Linked DNA regions of Ovis aries. The protein of the gene in region 2 interacts with the protein of the main gene of each other region in a biochemical or structural test. Links are inferred from orthologs where the notes say so. Each region holds a gene or a part of one and is shown on either strand. Other genes may lie near its edges.

Evidence for each region.
Region 1: the proteins of STON2 (region 2) and SYT1 form a complex in vitro, tested with the Homo sapiens proteins (2 studies listed by BioGRID). The link is inferred for Ovis aries from reciprocal best matches to the Homo sapiens genes STON2 and SYT1.

Annotation. Positions count from the first base shown.
Region 1 is NC_056056.1:114,926,125-114,933,375, reverse strand, and holds the start of SYT1 (synaptotagmin-1), read right to left. Parts: upstream 4,864-7,251; 5' UTR 4,480-4,863; intron 1-4,479. UniProt on the Homo sapiens protein: Calcium sensor that participates in triggering neurotransmitter release at the synapse. May have a regulatory role in the membrane interactions during trafficking of synaptic vesicles at the active zone of the synapse.
Region 2 is NC_056060.1:90,899,028-90,906,097, forward strand, and holds the start of STON2 (stonin-2), read right to left. Parts: upstream 4,835-7,070; 5' UTR 4,671-4,834; intron 1-4,670. UniProt on the Homo sapiens protein: Adapter protein involved in endocytic machinery. Involved in the synaptic vesicle recycling. May facilitate clathrin-coated vesicle uncoating.

The DNA.
Region 1 (7,251 bases), on a different chromosome or scaffold from region 2:
TGCACACTTTAAAAGTTTTCCTTTTTTAAATAATCTAGCAAAGGTTAAAGTTTTATTCTTATACAACAAGAAAATACTGTGTGCTCTCTTACTTCCAGTAGATAACATGATTATATTTACAATATTATTTAATACACATTTATTTTCTTATACTAACACATATAAGTAGAATGATGCTCATACATGCCCAGCTATCACAGTTCATCTTATAGTCCATATAAAAATGGTTCTTCAAGAAAGAACACTCCTAAAATGACAGAGAAGATAAAAGAAAAACACTATTTCATTCAGACGGGAAAGATTAAATCCTGTTTTTAAAAAATGGCCACACTTAATGGAGAGGTTTGAATCAAGTTTATAAAAACATTATGAAAAAATAATGCTCATTCTTAAAGAAATTACTAAAAATACCGATCTAAACCCCCTTCCCTGAAAAAGCAATGATAATCATGTTGGTTATATGAAAGATTAAGAACAAATTTACCTTTATGCAAATGTTGAAAGAAACAAAATATTAGAAAGAAAGAAAATCTTAGAAAGAAAGAAAGAAAGAAAGAAACAAAATCTTTAATGCCCTGTTATATCTAAATCATATGAAAATATGATTTCAGGTTATTTGTTACCTGCATATAAAAGTGTATCTTGTACTGAGAGGTTTTTTTTTTTTTTTTTTCCAAATCCATGATTCATATGAAAATCACTTCTTCCCTAAGCTGTATAAAGGGAAAGATCTATACCCCCATTAATTTTGCCTCTGGGTATTCCTAGTCTTTTCAACCAAATAAATATTAAAAGCATCCCTAAGACACTGTCATCTTTCATTAAATGATACTTTTTACAGAAGTACTCCCTAGTTTCAGCAGATTATATGCTACTGCCCATTAGTATTGAATCCCTTCAGAAAATATTACATAATATATACATATATATACACACACATACACATACCTATATACACACACATGTGTACATATATATATTCTAAAATACTAGTTGAAATTATTTATTTGGACTGCCATATACTTTATTCCTATTTAAATAGCTTTGAACAATTTCAATGGCAAACAGTTTCAACTAGAAAGCATCTCAGACGTTAAACTTTTGATACAGATGTATTTATGACAAGCAAATGATTGAAAAATTTTTAGAATCACCGTGTTTTAGGTATTTAATTTTAGTAAGCATTAGTTTTTAGCAAAACACTTGTAAAACCCACCCCTACATTATTCTATGCCAAAAAATCTAACTTTGGTCTTGGTGTTCTGTAATATTAGATCAAATTTGCTCTGTTATGTAACCACACTGTTTACTTTTGCTTTCCTTTCCCCAAATAATTTAATCACTACCATTAGAAAAAAATATATATTATGTTCCAATTTGGAATTAATGCTATCTCTTCCTAGCTATTACACATACCAGAACTCTTAAGAGCTCAAAGTATTTCAGGCTCACATAATTGTCTATGTTAAGTGTGAGATTTTTAAGATCAGATGGCTGTAAAAACCTAATTTGGGAATCCAGTATAAATCGATTTAGTACATTGAACTTAAAGGAGATGAATTGATGTTATATCTATGGTGTCATTAGGCAAGTTCAAATTAGCTTTCAGATCTAACATATTCTGCATTTTATTTATTACTCATCTGGTTCATTTTGCAAATACAATTAAGAGAAGTTACTATATTCTAGCTTTATTTTCAGTTAGCACCAAGTCTAATATGCAAATATTATAAATACCATAACCATTTTCATATTTCTGGACTAGAACTATCTGACAATTTGACCAGACAGAATAACTAATATTCTTCATTATGAAATGAAGTTCAAAACTACTCTGCAACAATTCTCTATTGTGTGGTATTTTATAAAATTAGTATTTTAGATTTCCCCTGTAGAGTAGCAACCTTTAGTTCTGATAAAAATACATTAAAGCCTAATTACCATATTTGCTCTGAAACATTAAGATGATTTACTAAGATATCCTTTTAAAGGGAGAAAAGATGAAAGTTGTATGAAACTGTTATACTAGAACATTTTATGGGATGACAGGGCAATAATTTCCTACAATATATTATTTAAAGTCTTACTTCTATCCACTCACTATTTATTGGAATTAGTTCTGACTTCCGGTATATAAAGGCGTAATTTTTTTTTTTTTGTAAGCATGTGAAAAACTCAAGACTCATGTGCATTTCTTTTACATGTCACTGCTATAATTAACATTTGTTAAGAGTTTCAAACATCAATGTCACAAACCAAGCCCAAATTTGCAACTTTCCTAAGACACAGTGAGAAATAACCAAGTAAAATCTTAATTTGCTCACATGGAAAGCAGTCGGTTTCCTTTCTCTCTTCATGTCTAAACTTGTTAATTCAGATGTACACATGTGAGGCAATTAGACGATTGTCCCTTTGTCCTTGTAACCGAAAGGTGGCACCTCTAAAAATTAGAGTTAGCTTTCAACAGAGGTACTACATTAAAAAGGAAAAAAAAAAAAAAAAAACCAAACAGGCATTTAAATGTCAAAGCCTTAGAAAGAAGATCTTGTTTCTGTGACCTGAGGTTAATTCTACTGAAATAGGAAAGATAAGTGTCTCGAATGGAAAATAGTTTAGAAAATAAAACCTATTACATTGATGGTAAATAAATGCAGCTCTTCTCTAGATCAGTGTATAAACTTGTCCACTTAAGATATATAGTGAAAATAATACTTTTTGGGATACATAGATTAGTGTGGAAGGTCAAGCAGAGTTGAAAAAGAAGGCTCCTTTTTCTTATCCCAAGTGGACACATTTAAAAAAAAAAGTAAGACTTGGCATTTCCTTTGATAAATCAAAGGGGAAGATTTATCTGGACACCGACATGTGATTTCTCTGCACTCATGTAGGATCCACTTGGAATGCTTTCCCATTGCATTGAACTAAGCACTTCTTTCTACCTCCTCCCATCTGACAGCCATCACTTATCTGTCTCAGATGAATAACAAGAAAGGAAAGCTTATACCATTGACGATGGAATTAGAAATTTCTGAGGCTGCCTTCAAGGTTCTGTCCACCAAGTCCTGTTCACTTAACCTATCATTCAGGCAGCCAGGGCAGAGTTGTTTTGACATCTTTCTCTGTATTATAATAAGAGATGAGAACAAACACATTTTTCCCATTAAGATTTTTGAAATTTGAGGCTATCTTCCTACCATTACTTTCTAAACTTTGTTCCAGTACAAGAGAATTCTTGGCCAACTGAGCCTCCATGTGCCTTCTAAATGGAGTACTAAAATTGTATAAGCATCACGTTTACATCTGTTAAATATACTTATTGAAAGAAAAGAAGGCAAAGCATGAATTCAATATCTGGGAAACAATGCAAACAGCAGAAAGAGAGAAGGAAATCATAATTCATACACAAATGCAGCTTTAACACAAAAGTTAAATGTTTGCTTTATTTTAAAGGGTTAATCTTCAAGAAAGTCAAAATCAACACATACACAAAGCTAACTAGATTAGCTTTCTCAAAGTAGAAAACCAAGCCTCCTGATAGGACTAGTGTCACTTAAAAATGTTTTGAAACTTTATACATATACATACATATATCTATATCCATCTATCTATCTATCTATATTGCTCCTCACCATAAAGGCCATACCAAAGAATCTCAGGAAATTAATGTTTTTAATTTTTTTTCTCTATTGGAAAAGCTTCTCCAAGTTCAGACATTACCACTGATGGACAATACCAAATAGCCCTACAGGACAGATGGAAACAGGAAGAGTCAAATGGTGGGCACTTAAAAGCAACAGCAATTAAGCAGTTGCAAGTGGGTTGAAACGGTGGTTTATTTTTGTTCCATTTGAAGGAATCAAGTGAGAGACACAGCCTCTTGCAAGGAGGAGATCAAGTCAAACTTGACGCTTCCCCTCTTTGCACATCTTGTCTACTTCCTTTATTCAGTTTAATTGCTTTCCCTATTCTAATTTTCGCAGAGGTTGTATTCTATCTTGTTCCTTCTCTCCTGCCCTGGGCAGGAAAGAAAAAAAAAATCTTTCTCCTTTCATCACTACCTTCCTCTTTCCTCTGAGAAAAGGCAATCCTCTCCAGGAGGAGAAAAAAGCCCTGTGCGTGCTTCGGATGGGAGGAGGGAGAAGAAGAGAGATTGAGAAAGGAGTTGGAGGGGGGTGGGTGGTGAGGGATAGAAATTGAGGGTGGGGGGCGGAGGAGAGGGGAGGAGAGAAGGAAAGGAGAAGATGGGGGATGCCCAACATCAACTCCAGGCTCTGAATCACAGGCGCCGTGCTAAGTGCTTCTCCGGGAGATGCACATGTGGTCTCATTACACTGCTCACAATAGGCCACCCGGGGCTCCCTTCCCAGGTCTCAGTCTCCCCCCACCAAAACCCAAGTGTGCCGAGAAGAAACCCTTCTGGACGGATTCAAGCAAATAGGCACCACCGAGGTGGCCGTGCCGCCACTCCCGCTGCCTTACCTGGAGCGGGGAGCAGGAGGTGGTGCCTGCTCGCTGGTCCCTACCGCTTCCCGGGGCTGACCGGTGCACACGACTCCTTTCGCTGCCTCTGCTCTTGGAGGGGCAGCCTGCAACACAAAAGGGGGGTGTGGGTGTGGGTGTGTGGGAGGTTTTCCAGGGCCACCAGCTGGTCCCAGCTGGCCGCCCTCACCCTACACACACCCCTCCGGGGCACCAAGCCCCGCTCTCCGGGGAGCACCACCCTGGGGGCTTGCCCCGGTGCAGTCTCAAGTTGCCGCTGCCAAGTGCTGCCGCCGCCGCTGCAGGAGGAGGAGGTGGAAAGACACTGGGGGCAGCACTCGGTCTAGAGCATCCCCACACTGCAGCTTCTCCAGGAATCCCTCCAGTGAGGAGGCGGCCGCCCGTCATCTCCCAGCCCCAGCCGCCTGATTGGCTCCACCGCCGGTACGCTGAGCCCGGGAGCCAATCCGGGCGCACTAATAATAGGTGGATCCGCGCAGCCAACAGCGCCCATCCCAGTTCTGTTAGTGTCTCTCCATCCCCACAGCGGACAGGGACTTGAGGAGGGGGTTGAGGAGCGTTGGGGGAGGGGGGTAAGTCTGAGGGGGTCAGATCCCAAGGAGACGTAATCAAGGGCATCCGATAAACCCTCTGGGTAGTTACAGGAATGCCCCGCAACCTGTTCAGCAAGCCATAAGCACAGGGGAGGGAGACAGCATAATAAAAAGCTTTTTTTTTTTTTTCCCCTCTCTCTTTTCTTTCTTTTTTTTTTTTTACTTTCAATCAAAACCTGCCCTGATACTGAGCATGCCCAGACTGCAACAGCGCCCTAGGAGTTCCGATGTGTGTGGGTTTGCAGGCTGTGGGTGTCTTAAAATGTGGGCGCTGGGAAGAAGAGACAGAAGTTTGTCTTTGGCTATTTGACCCGGAGGAGTTGTGAAAGCAAAGCAGGGCGGGGATAAGAAAGGAGTCCGCCGGAGAGTGCTCACCCTGAACCATAGGAAGGTGGCCCTCTGGGCCACTGGAGGCTGTTAATACCATTGTGTGGGTTCAAGGGTGGAAGCGGGGTAAGAATAATCGGAGCGTTTCTAGACGCCTGGAGACTTTTCTTGAATCAAGGGTGCGGTGCTTGGGAGATGCCGGGATGCGGGCATGGGAAGCTCCTTCCCCTAGGTGGGGCCGGGAAGCGACTCCACCCTGTCGCGGGGGCTGCCAGGCAGGGGAGAGCGCTCTGGGAGTTTCCACTGCGGCGACCAGTAAGTTTGTAGACTTAGGTCAGGTGCGACAACGTTGGGGATGCAGTTTCTGCCAGCTCCGTTCCCCATCTCTCCACCCCTTGCCAGCGACGACTGAAGCGTGGGTACTCCCCCTCCTTTCTCTCTTTCCCCTGAACGATTCTGCTCGGAAGTAAGAAGCTTTTCCCCTGTGACAGCAGTGCTGACCTGATTGCCTCTAAGCTCTAGGGCAATTTATAGCTTGGTAATACGGAGAAGCCAAACTGGGAGATTCAGCGATAGGGGGCAGGGACAGCAAGCAAGGCAAGGGGCGGAGCGGAACCTGGCTCCGGTAGGACCAGGTCCAGTCTCTGCTCCACAGGTGCAAGGCTTCTGAAACGCTGAGAAGTATCTCTCTCTCTCACCCACTGACCTTGTTTACTGGCCTTTAAACCCCTGACTTGTTTTGCTTAGAAATGCTTCCAGTTTGTGTAAACTTTGTCAATGGCTCCAATTGAGAACTCTCCTAATTGGGTTCTTTATTTTACTGAGAAGATTATCATGGCGTCTCAGTTAAGGAAATAAATAGCTATCTCAATTCCCCAAACCCATCCACTTTGAACTGGAGTTTCATTAACACTGGTTTGCAAAGGTAACTGTATCAAGAATTCAATTAACAGTAACACATTTCTTCAAGTTTTTAATTAAATCTCTGCAATTTATGTAATGTTTAGGATCCTTATTCTAAGTTTAGGGGAAAAGAAGACAACTTGATACAAATTAGTCGTTTTAATAACAAATGCTTGTGTATCCCCCCAAATTGTAACTAAACGTAAATATTTATTTCGTATTTTAAAAAATCCTCAAATCTTAAGAGTAATTTCATAGCTAGAGAAAGATAATAGATGTTAGTTTAAAATCAACTCAAGTATTTGATTAAGCAGAAAAAGAATGAGGAGGCTGAAGGTGGAAGAGAAGGAGAAAAAGAATGAATTACCAGTCTAACACTGCTTTCCAATAAATGTCCTCATGCAAAAGGATCATATTGAAGTGAAGTGAAGTCGCTCAGTCGTTTCCAACTCTTTGTGACCCCATGGACTGTAGCCTACCAGGCTCCTCCCATACATGGGATTCTCCAGGCAAGAATGCTAGAGTGGGTTGCCATTGCCTTCTCCAGGGGATCTTCCTGACCCAGGCATTGAACCCAGGTCTCCCGCATTGTGCGAAGATACTTTACCCTCTGAGGCACCTGGGAAATCCTAATAAAGATCTCTATTTTAAAAAATACTCTTGGCACACTCTCTAGATTCCAGTAATTAAAATGTTTTTAAAAGTTGTGTCCAATAGCTGCATGTGGAAACGAGTAAATTTGTTTTAGAATGAATTAGTAAGTAGAATATGATTCCATACTAGTTATCTGTTACAGACTCTGATTCTATCATTAATATCTTAGCCAATGTCTCTTCCTGTCTACTTCACATCCTATCCAATAATCAACTCTCTTTCAGTGGTCGGAATCCTAGACAACATGAATGGTGTTAGACGTTTGCATCCTAAC
Region 2 (7,070 bases):
CCAGCAAAACTGCCACATGGATTATCTTGGGACCTTCCAGATTTTCTCCTCCTTCCACTAGGCCCTTCCATTCAGGTCTTTCCCCTCAACTCTGTCGTAATTCTTCCCTGTAATTCAGTGACTTTCAGAGTGTGGTGTCTGGGCCAGCATCATTATCACCTGAGCACCTCTCTGAAATGCTCGTTCCCAGGCTCACCCCACTCTGCTGGTTCAGAGACTCTGGCATGGGGGCCCAGAAATCTATTTCTTCAAGCCTTCTGCTGCTGCTGCTGCTAAGTCGCTTCAGTTGTGTCTGACTCTGTGCAACTCCATAGACGGCAGCCCACCAGACTTCCCCGCCCCTGGGATTCTCCAGGCAAGAACACTGGAGTGGGTTGCCATTTCCTTCTCCAATGCATGAAAGTGAAAAGTGAAAGTGTTGCTCAATCTGAAGTGCCTGACTCTTAGCAGCCCCATAGATTGTAGCCTACTAGGCTCCTCTGTCCATGGATTTTCCAGGCAAGAGTACTGGAGTGGGGTGCCATTGCCTTCTCTGTTTCAAGCCTTCTAGGTGATTCCATAATGCACCCTAAACTTTGAGAACAGTTGCTTTGGATGATAATTATGAAATAAGGACTTTAATGTGTGAGAGACACCCATTTTAGAAGACCTGTGGGCTTCCCTTGTAGCTCAGTCGGTAAAGAATCTGCCCACAATGCAGGAGACCTGGGTTTGATTCCTGGGTCAGGAAGATCCCCTGGAGAAGGAAACGGCAACCCTCTCCAGTATTCTTGCCTGGAGAATTCCATGGACAGAGGAGCCTGCCAGGCTACAGTCCTGGGGTCTTAAGAGTCAGACACGACTTAGCAACTAAACCACCGGTGAAGACAGGCCACCTGAATGAGCCACTTTTAGGAGTGGACTCTCAAGTCATGTGACAGACAGTGAGAGGGAGAGATCTGAGATCTCAACTGCTTCAATCTCCCCACATTGCTACTAGAGATGCACTCACCCTGAAAATGTGATCATCTCAAACCACCTTAAAACCCTCTCGAGTAACACAACCTTCTAAATCAACCATATGTCAACTGGGCTTCCCTGGTGGCTCAGATGGTAAAGAATCTGCTTGTAATGCGGGAGATCAGGGTTTGATCCCTGGGGTCAGGAAGATGCCCTGGAGAAGGGAATGGCAACCCACTCCAGTATTCTTGTCTGGAGAATTCCATGGACAGAGGAGCCTGGCAGGCTACAGTCCATGGGGTCACAAAGAGTTGGACAGGACTGAGCGCCTAACACTACTACTACTATATAGGTCAACTGAAAAAAAGCCTCCAATGGCAGCTCCCTGCCTATAGGGTAAAGTCCCAGGCTCCTGGCACATAGCCCTGTATCATCTGCCTCTGGGACGCCTCCCTGGCCTTGTCTCCTACGCTTTCCCTCCTAATCATCTCTGCCTCCTTTGCAAGAGGTTCCATGTGCCCACACCACCAGCATGAGCTTTGGCCATGTGGCTTACCTTGGCCAACAGCGTGAGAGCTAAAGTGAAGCCCACTCCTTCTCAGCAGACCTCTCAGGGCCATAGTTGTTTTGCTCACTCACGTTCTTTTTCCCTTCTCCCATAAACAAGATTAGTATGTACCAGAGAGAGGCTGTTTCTTCAGCCTTTAAAGTGAAAGTCACCCAGTCTTGTCCGACTCTTTGCGACCCCATGGACTGTACAGTCCACGGAATTCTCCAGGCCAGAATACTGGAGAGGGTAGCCTTTCTCTTCTCCAGGATTCTTAAGCCTTAATGGGCCCCAAAATGGAGACACATGAGGAGCAGAACCATGAATGACCTGCCTTGGACATGCAACATGGGTGAGAAATAACATGGGTGGTGGTAGCAAGCCACTGAGATTGGGACGGAGCGGGTGGGAGAAGGTATTTGCTCATTTTTCCTAAGATGACTATTATAGCACTTCTGATATCCTGTACTCTCTCTTTCTGGAATCCTCCCCTCTGCCCTACTCTTACTCCCAATCCCAGCTCAATTCTGTCTGCACAAGAGAATTGCCTGTTAGCCTACACTCAGCTCAGGTGTATCCCCTCAACAAAGTCTCTCTCTTTTTAAAAATTCTTTCCCAGGTACAGTTCATCATTCTTACCTTGTGAACCTCCTCTGTCTGCTACCGATCTATAACCACATCCCTGGAATGGCACTAGGGGTTTCTATTCATTAGCACCATCCTTAGAACGATTCCTCTTAAAAAAAAAAAAAAAAAAAAAGGTTTTTTTTGAGCCCTCATTTTGTAATGTGAGAGAGACTTTGGCTCAGAAAACTTCAAGCAACTTCTCCAAGTTTCCCAGCTGTCAGGGGCGGGTGTGGCTCTGAACTCGGCAAACTGCCCCCTGCCCCACGTGCCTCTCTGTGTCTCCTCCAGCACAGCTTTCAAATCCCCCCACTCAGGTGTAGAGGGACGGTCTTCTCACCAACAACTGAAAGGGCTGGTGAATTAATCTGACATTGGAAACATCTGACTTCCCTGGTGGCTCAGACAGTAAAGCGTCTGCCTACAATGCAGGAGACCCAGGTTCGATTCCTGAGTCAGGAAGAGCCCCTGGAGAAGGAAATGGCAACCCACTCCAGTATTCTTGCCTGGAAAATCCCATGGACGGAGGAGCCTGGTGGGCTACAGTCCATGGGGTCGCAAGGAGTCAGACATGACTGAGCGATTTCACTAACATTGTAAGATTTACTTCTGGAAGTCGGCTCCTTACCCTCTCAGATGAGAGTCACGTTCTCTGGGTGGATGTATTTATTCTAAAGCTCCTGGTAAATGTGCCGGAGACCCTAGGAGCACTGGGGCACTTTACCTGCGTCCTCTCCCCAGCTCTCAGGTTGTGGGGGTAATGTTCTGAGAAAGACAGGCAGGTTCCCACTAACATTACTCTAGAGCTGCCCTCCCCAACCTTTTTGGCACCAGTGACGGGTTTCATGGAAGACAATTACTCCACAGACCAAAGTTAGGGGTGGGGTTTTGGGATGATTCAAGCGCATTTACTACACGCTTTGTTTCTATTATTATTTCATCAGCTCCTCAGATCATCAGGCTTTAGATTCTAGAGGCTGGGGACCCCTGCCCTAGAGAATCTCTGGGAAGGTCCGCTGGGGTTTGTCGGGGGGTAGGAAACAAGTAGCAGAGGGCTCAGAAACCCAAGCGAGTCTGATATACATTGATATTTTAGCTTTTAAAAAGACAAATTCAAGGAGTGAAACATTTGACTCTTCAAAGAAAACAAGGAAAGTGACACAGTGGCAAAGAACCGAAGCAGACCACCGAGGTCAGAAACTGAAAAAAAAAAAAAACCTCAAGTGGGAACTGTAATTTTAGGCTTCTGTGAGCTGTTGGCATTTTGTTGTGTGGTTGGGCTTTTGTTTGCTATTCTCTTCTCTCTCTTTTAAAATTCACTTGTTTTAAGGGAGGAGTAGGGAGTATAACAATGCTCAAAGTTTCCCCCTTAAATCAGCCATAGTAATGAGGCAACACAGTACCATGATATAACATTCATACACATTTTTTTCAAGGGTTACAAAGTTTTCTCAGTTACTAGTTGGAATCTATTTATCTCTCACCATTCCAATGAAGCAGACTTGTTTTTCTTTTTTTTAATCCCTCAAAGGATATAGTACCTTTAAATGATACCATCAGTAAGATTATTTTTCCCCTTCAAGTGTAAAAAGCTGTTCAGAACTCCAAAGAGTCACTGGGCCAGTTTGGACAAGTCTGATTTACTCTTTAAAAAGGCCATCCGCTCCGTATAATGAACACTAAGCCAGCCTTTATGGAACACTTCAGCGCTGGCCTCAGTGTTTTCCAGCTTGGCTCATTTACTCCGCAAAGCCACGCCATCGGGCAGGTAAAGGCAGTGTTTTGACTTTACAGTCTAGAAGAGTGAAGCGCAGGAGACCACGAAGGACCTGCCTCGGAGAAAGAGACGGAGGCCACTAGCTGTACAGAAACCAGTTAATGATTCACTCACAGCCCTGGGGCAGCTCCTTTTAGTACAGGCTGCAACACACACACACAAACCACATCAACTCTCTTCATCTCAGCGAGAGGGGCGGGTGTCAGGCAAATCGCTTGGCAACGAGAGGAGGAAACTCCATCCAAAGGCCGGGTCCAGGCCGCCTCTGGGCGCTGTCCAGCGGGCATCGTGCCTGAGAGGCCAGGCTGGGGTCCCTGTATCCGGATACCCCGAAAGTGGGGCGCAGAACGCCAAAGCAGTTTTGGGGAGGGTTGGGGTGAGGGGTGGACGGTGGAGAAAAGCACAGTCCGCAAGGACACCTGTTGTCGCCTCCCTCACTAGGGCCCCAAGAAGACGTCCCGGGGACCCAGATCTCGGGGCGGACACGCACGGGCAGACAGCGCCTGTGTGCGAGGCAGGGTGTCCAGGGGTCACGTCTTGTCCCCCGACTCTGCACCCCTGCCCACCTTAGCGGACTCCCCTCGCTCGCTCTCACCGCTGGACGCCCGCGGCTGGGGGAAGCGCGTCTCCCCGGGGCATTCCAGCCGAGGCAGCTTCGGGGGGCTCCACAGGGGCTCGGGCAGCTCCCGCAGCGCTACGACCTCGCGGCCGGCCCGCCCCCCCGCCCGCTCCACCCGCGGGAGCCCGGAGCGCGATCGGCCTCCCAGCTCGGGGAGCAGCTACCTGCGGCGCGGCGCGCAGAGTCCTGAGGGTCCGCCGGAAGGTGGCCGCGGCTCAGCGGGAGTGGCGCCGGCCCCGGGGTGCCCTCGTCCCGCCGCGCGCTCCTCCCTGCCGCGCTCGCTCCGGGGCGGCCCGGCCTCAGGCTCCCCAGTCCGAGCTCGCTCTGCGCCCAGCGGCGCTGGGCGCCGCTCCCGCCGCTACGGATTGGCCGAGGAGCGAGCCAGAGCCGCGCGCTGATTGGTCTGCCGGGCGGTGGGCGGGTCCGACGCGGCGCGGACCCGCCCCTACCCCGACCCCCCGCGCCGCAGCCCCGCGGTGTCCTTTCTGCACCCGGAGCTCGGAGCTCACAGCCAGACGCTGCAACCCGGGCCCTGCCGCGCGGTCAGTGCAGCTCAGGCGTGCGGCCCGGGGGTGCAGGGTCTGGGGACCGCCCAGGAGGCTGTCCCACAGCCCGTGTCGAGGCTGCACGGTGCAGACTGCTGTTCCCCGTCTCACTCTTATATGAGGTTTTGACTCCTCATTCATTTAACGCTTTTACTCTCAGTTCAGTTCAGTCGCTCAGTCGTGTCTGACTCTGTGACCCCTTGGACTGTAGCACGCCGGGCTTCCCTGTCCATCGCCAACTCCCAGAGTTTACTCAAACTCATGTCCATTGAGTCGGTGATGCCATCCAACCATCTCATCCTCTGTCGTCCCCTTCTCCTCCTACCTTCAATCTTTCCCAGCATCAGGGTCTTTTCCAATGAGTTTCAGCCTCAGCATCAGTCCTTGCAATGAATATTCAGGACTGATTTCCTTTAGGATGGACTGGTTGGATCTCCTTGCAGTCCAAGGAACTCCCAAGAGTCTTCTCCAACACCACAGTTCAAAAGCATCAATTCTTCGGCGCTCAGCTTTCTTCACAGTCCAACTCTCACAACCATACATGACCACTGGAAAAACCATAGCCTCGATTAGATGGACCTTTGTTGGCAAAGTAATGTCTCTGCTTTTTAATATGCTGTCTAGGTTGGTTTGACTATATATATAGGCATACTCTCTCTCTCTCTCTCTCTCTCTCTCTCTCTATATATATATATATATATACATATATATAAGTTATAGAATTATAGCTATTAATCCTATGGGCCACCTGACTCATTGGAAAAGACCCTGATGCTGGGAAAGATTGAAGGCGGGAGGAGAAGGGGATGACAGAGGAGGAAATGGTTGGATGGCATCACCGCAGTGATGGACATGAGTTTGAGTAAACTTCGGAAGTTGGAGATGGACAGGGATACCTGGCGTGCTGCAGTCCATGGGGTCGCTAAGAGTTGGACACGACTGAGCGACTGAACTGATATATATATATATATATATATATATATATATATAGGCATAGGACGCAGGGCAGTAGCTCATAAATAGTGGGCACCAAATTGTGTTTCTAGACTCAGATCGTACTTGACACACAATCTTTGTGGAGCTTGCAAAGGGTAAGCGACTTGTCCAGGGTCCTAATCACGTTAAGAGATTACTAAGGACAAGAAGGACAGCGAGGCCTTCCTCAACAAGGAATCTTTACCTAGCTACGGAGATGAGTCTGATTAATAAAAACAACAACCCTAACGTTTCCATGATGCATAGTATTCGCCAGTCAGGTTTCCAAGTACTTTGCATATATTAATTCAGAAATGCATATAACAGCTGTCATAAGTATGCACACAGGTTCCTTGTGGACAAGAGACATCAGTTCTGAGTGCGAGAGATTTTCATCTGGAAGACAGTCGCCCTGCACTGCGATGGAGAGGCACAGGTCAGAACGGAGAGCAACTGTCAGGGGTTAAACCTGCCCGCATCTTCATCTCTCCTCCCATTTTACAGTCTCAGTCCTCCCAACATTCTCTCACACCTGCAACAAATCTTTCCAAAGAATAAAACAACCACTGTAAATCAGGGTGCTCCCAGAACTTTGTTCTACCACTCATCAAAGGACCCCACCCCATCCCCAAACACCCAGCTAGACAATGAGTATAAACAAATAGCACAGTTTCTATTTTACCTTTGACTTTGGTTGCAGTAATGTCTTCTTGACAGCAAGTATATAACCATTTTCCTACAGGTATTTCCCCCTAGTTCTTTTCTCCTGTGTTGACAGAACCCTTGGGAGAGAAATTTAGTTTAATAGAAAAGTTAAAAGACTCTGGTGAAAGCCAGCTTGACCCATTCTGAGAGCCTGATTTTTGCCCTAAGGATTAAGTATTACTTCCAAAGTGTGGTGTCTGATACTTTGTTACCCCATGAACTGCAGCCCGCCAGGCTCCTCTGTCCATGGGATTCTCCAGGTAAGAATACTGGAGTGGGTTGCCATTTCTTTCTCCAGGGGATCTTCCTGTTCCAGGGATCAAACCCGGATCTCCTGCA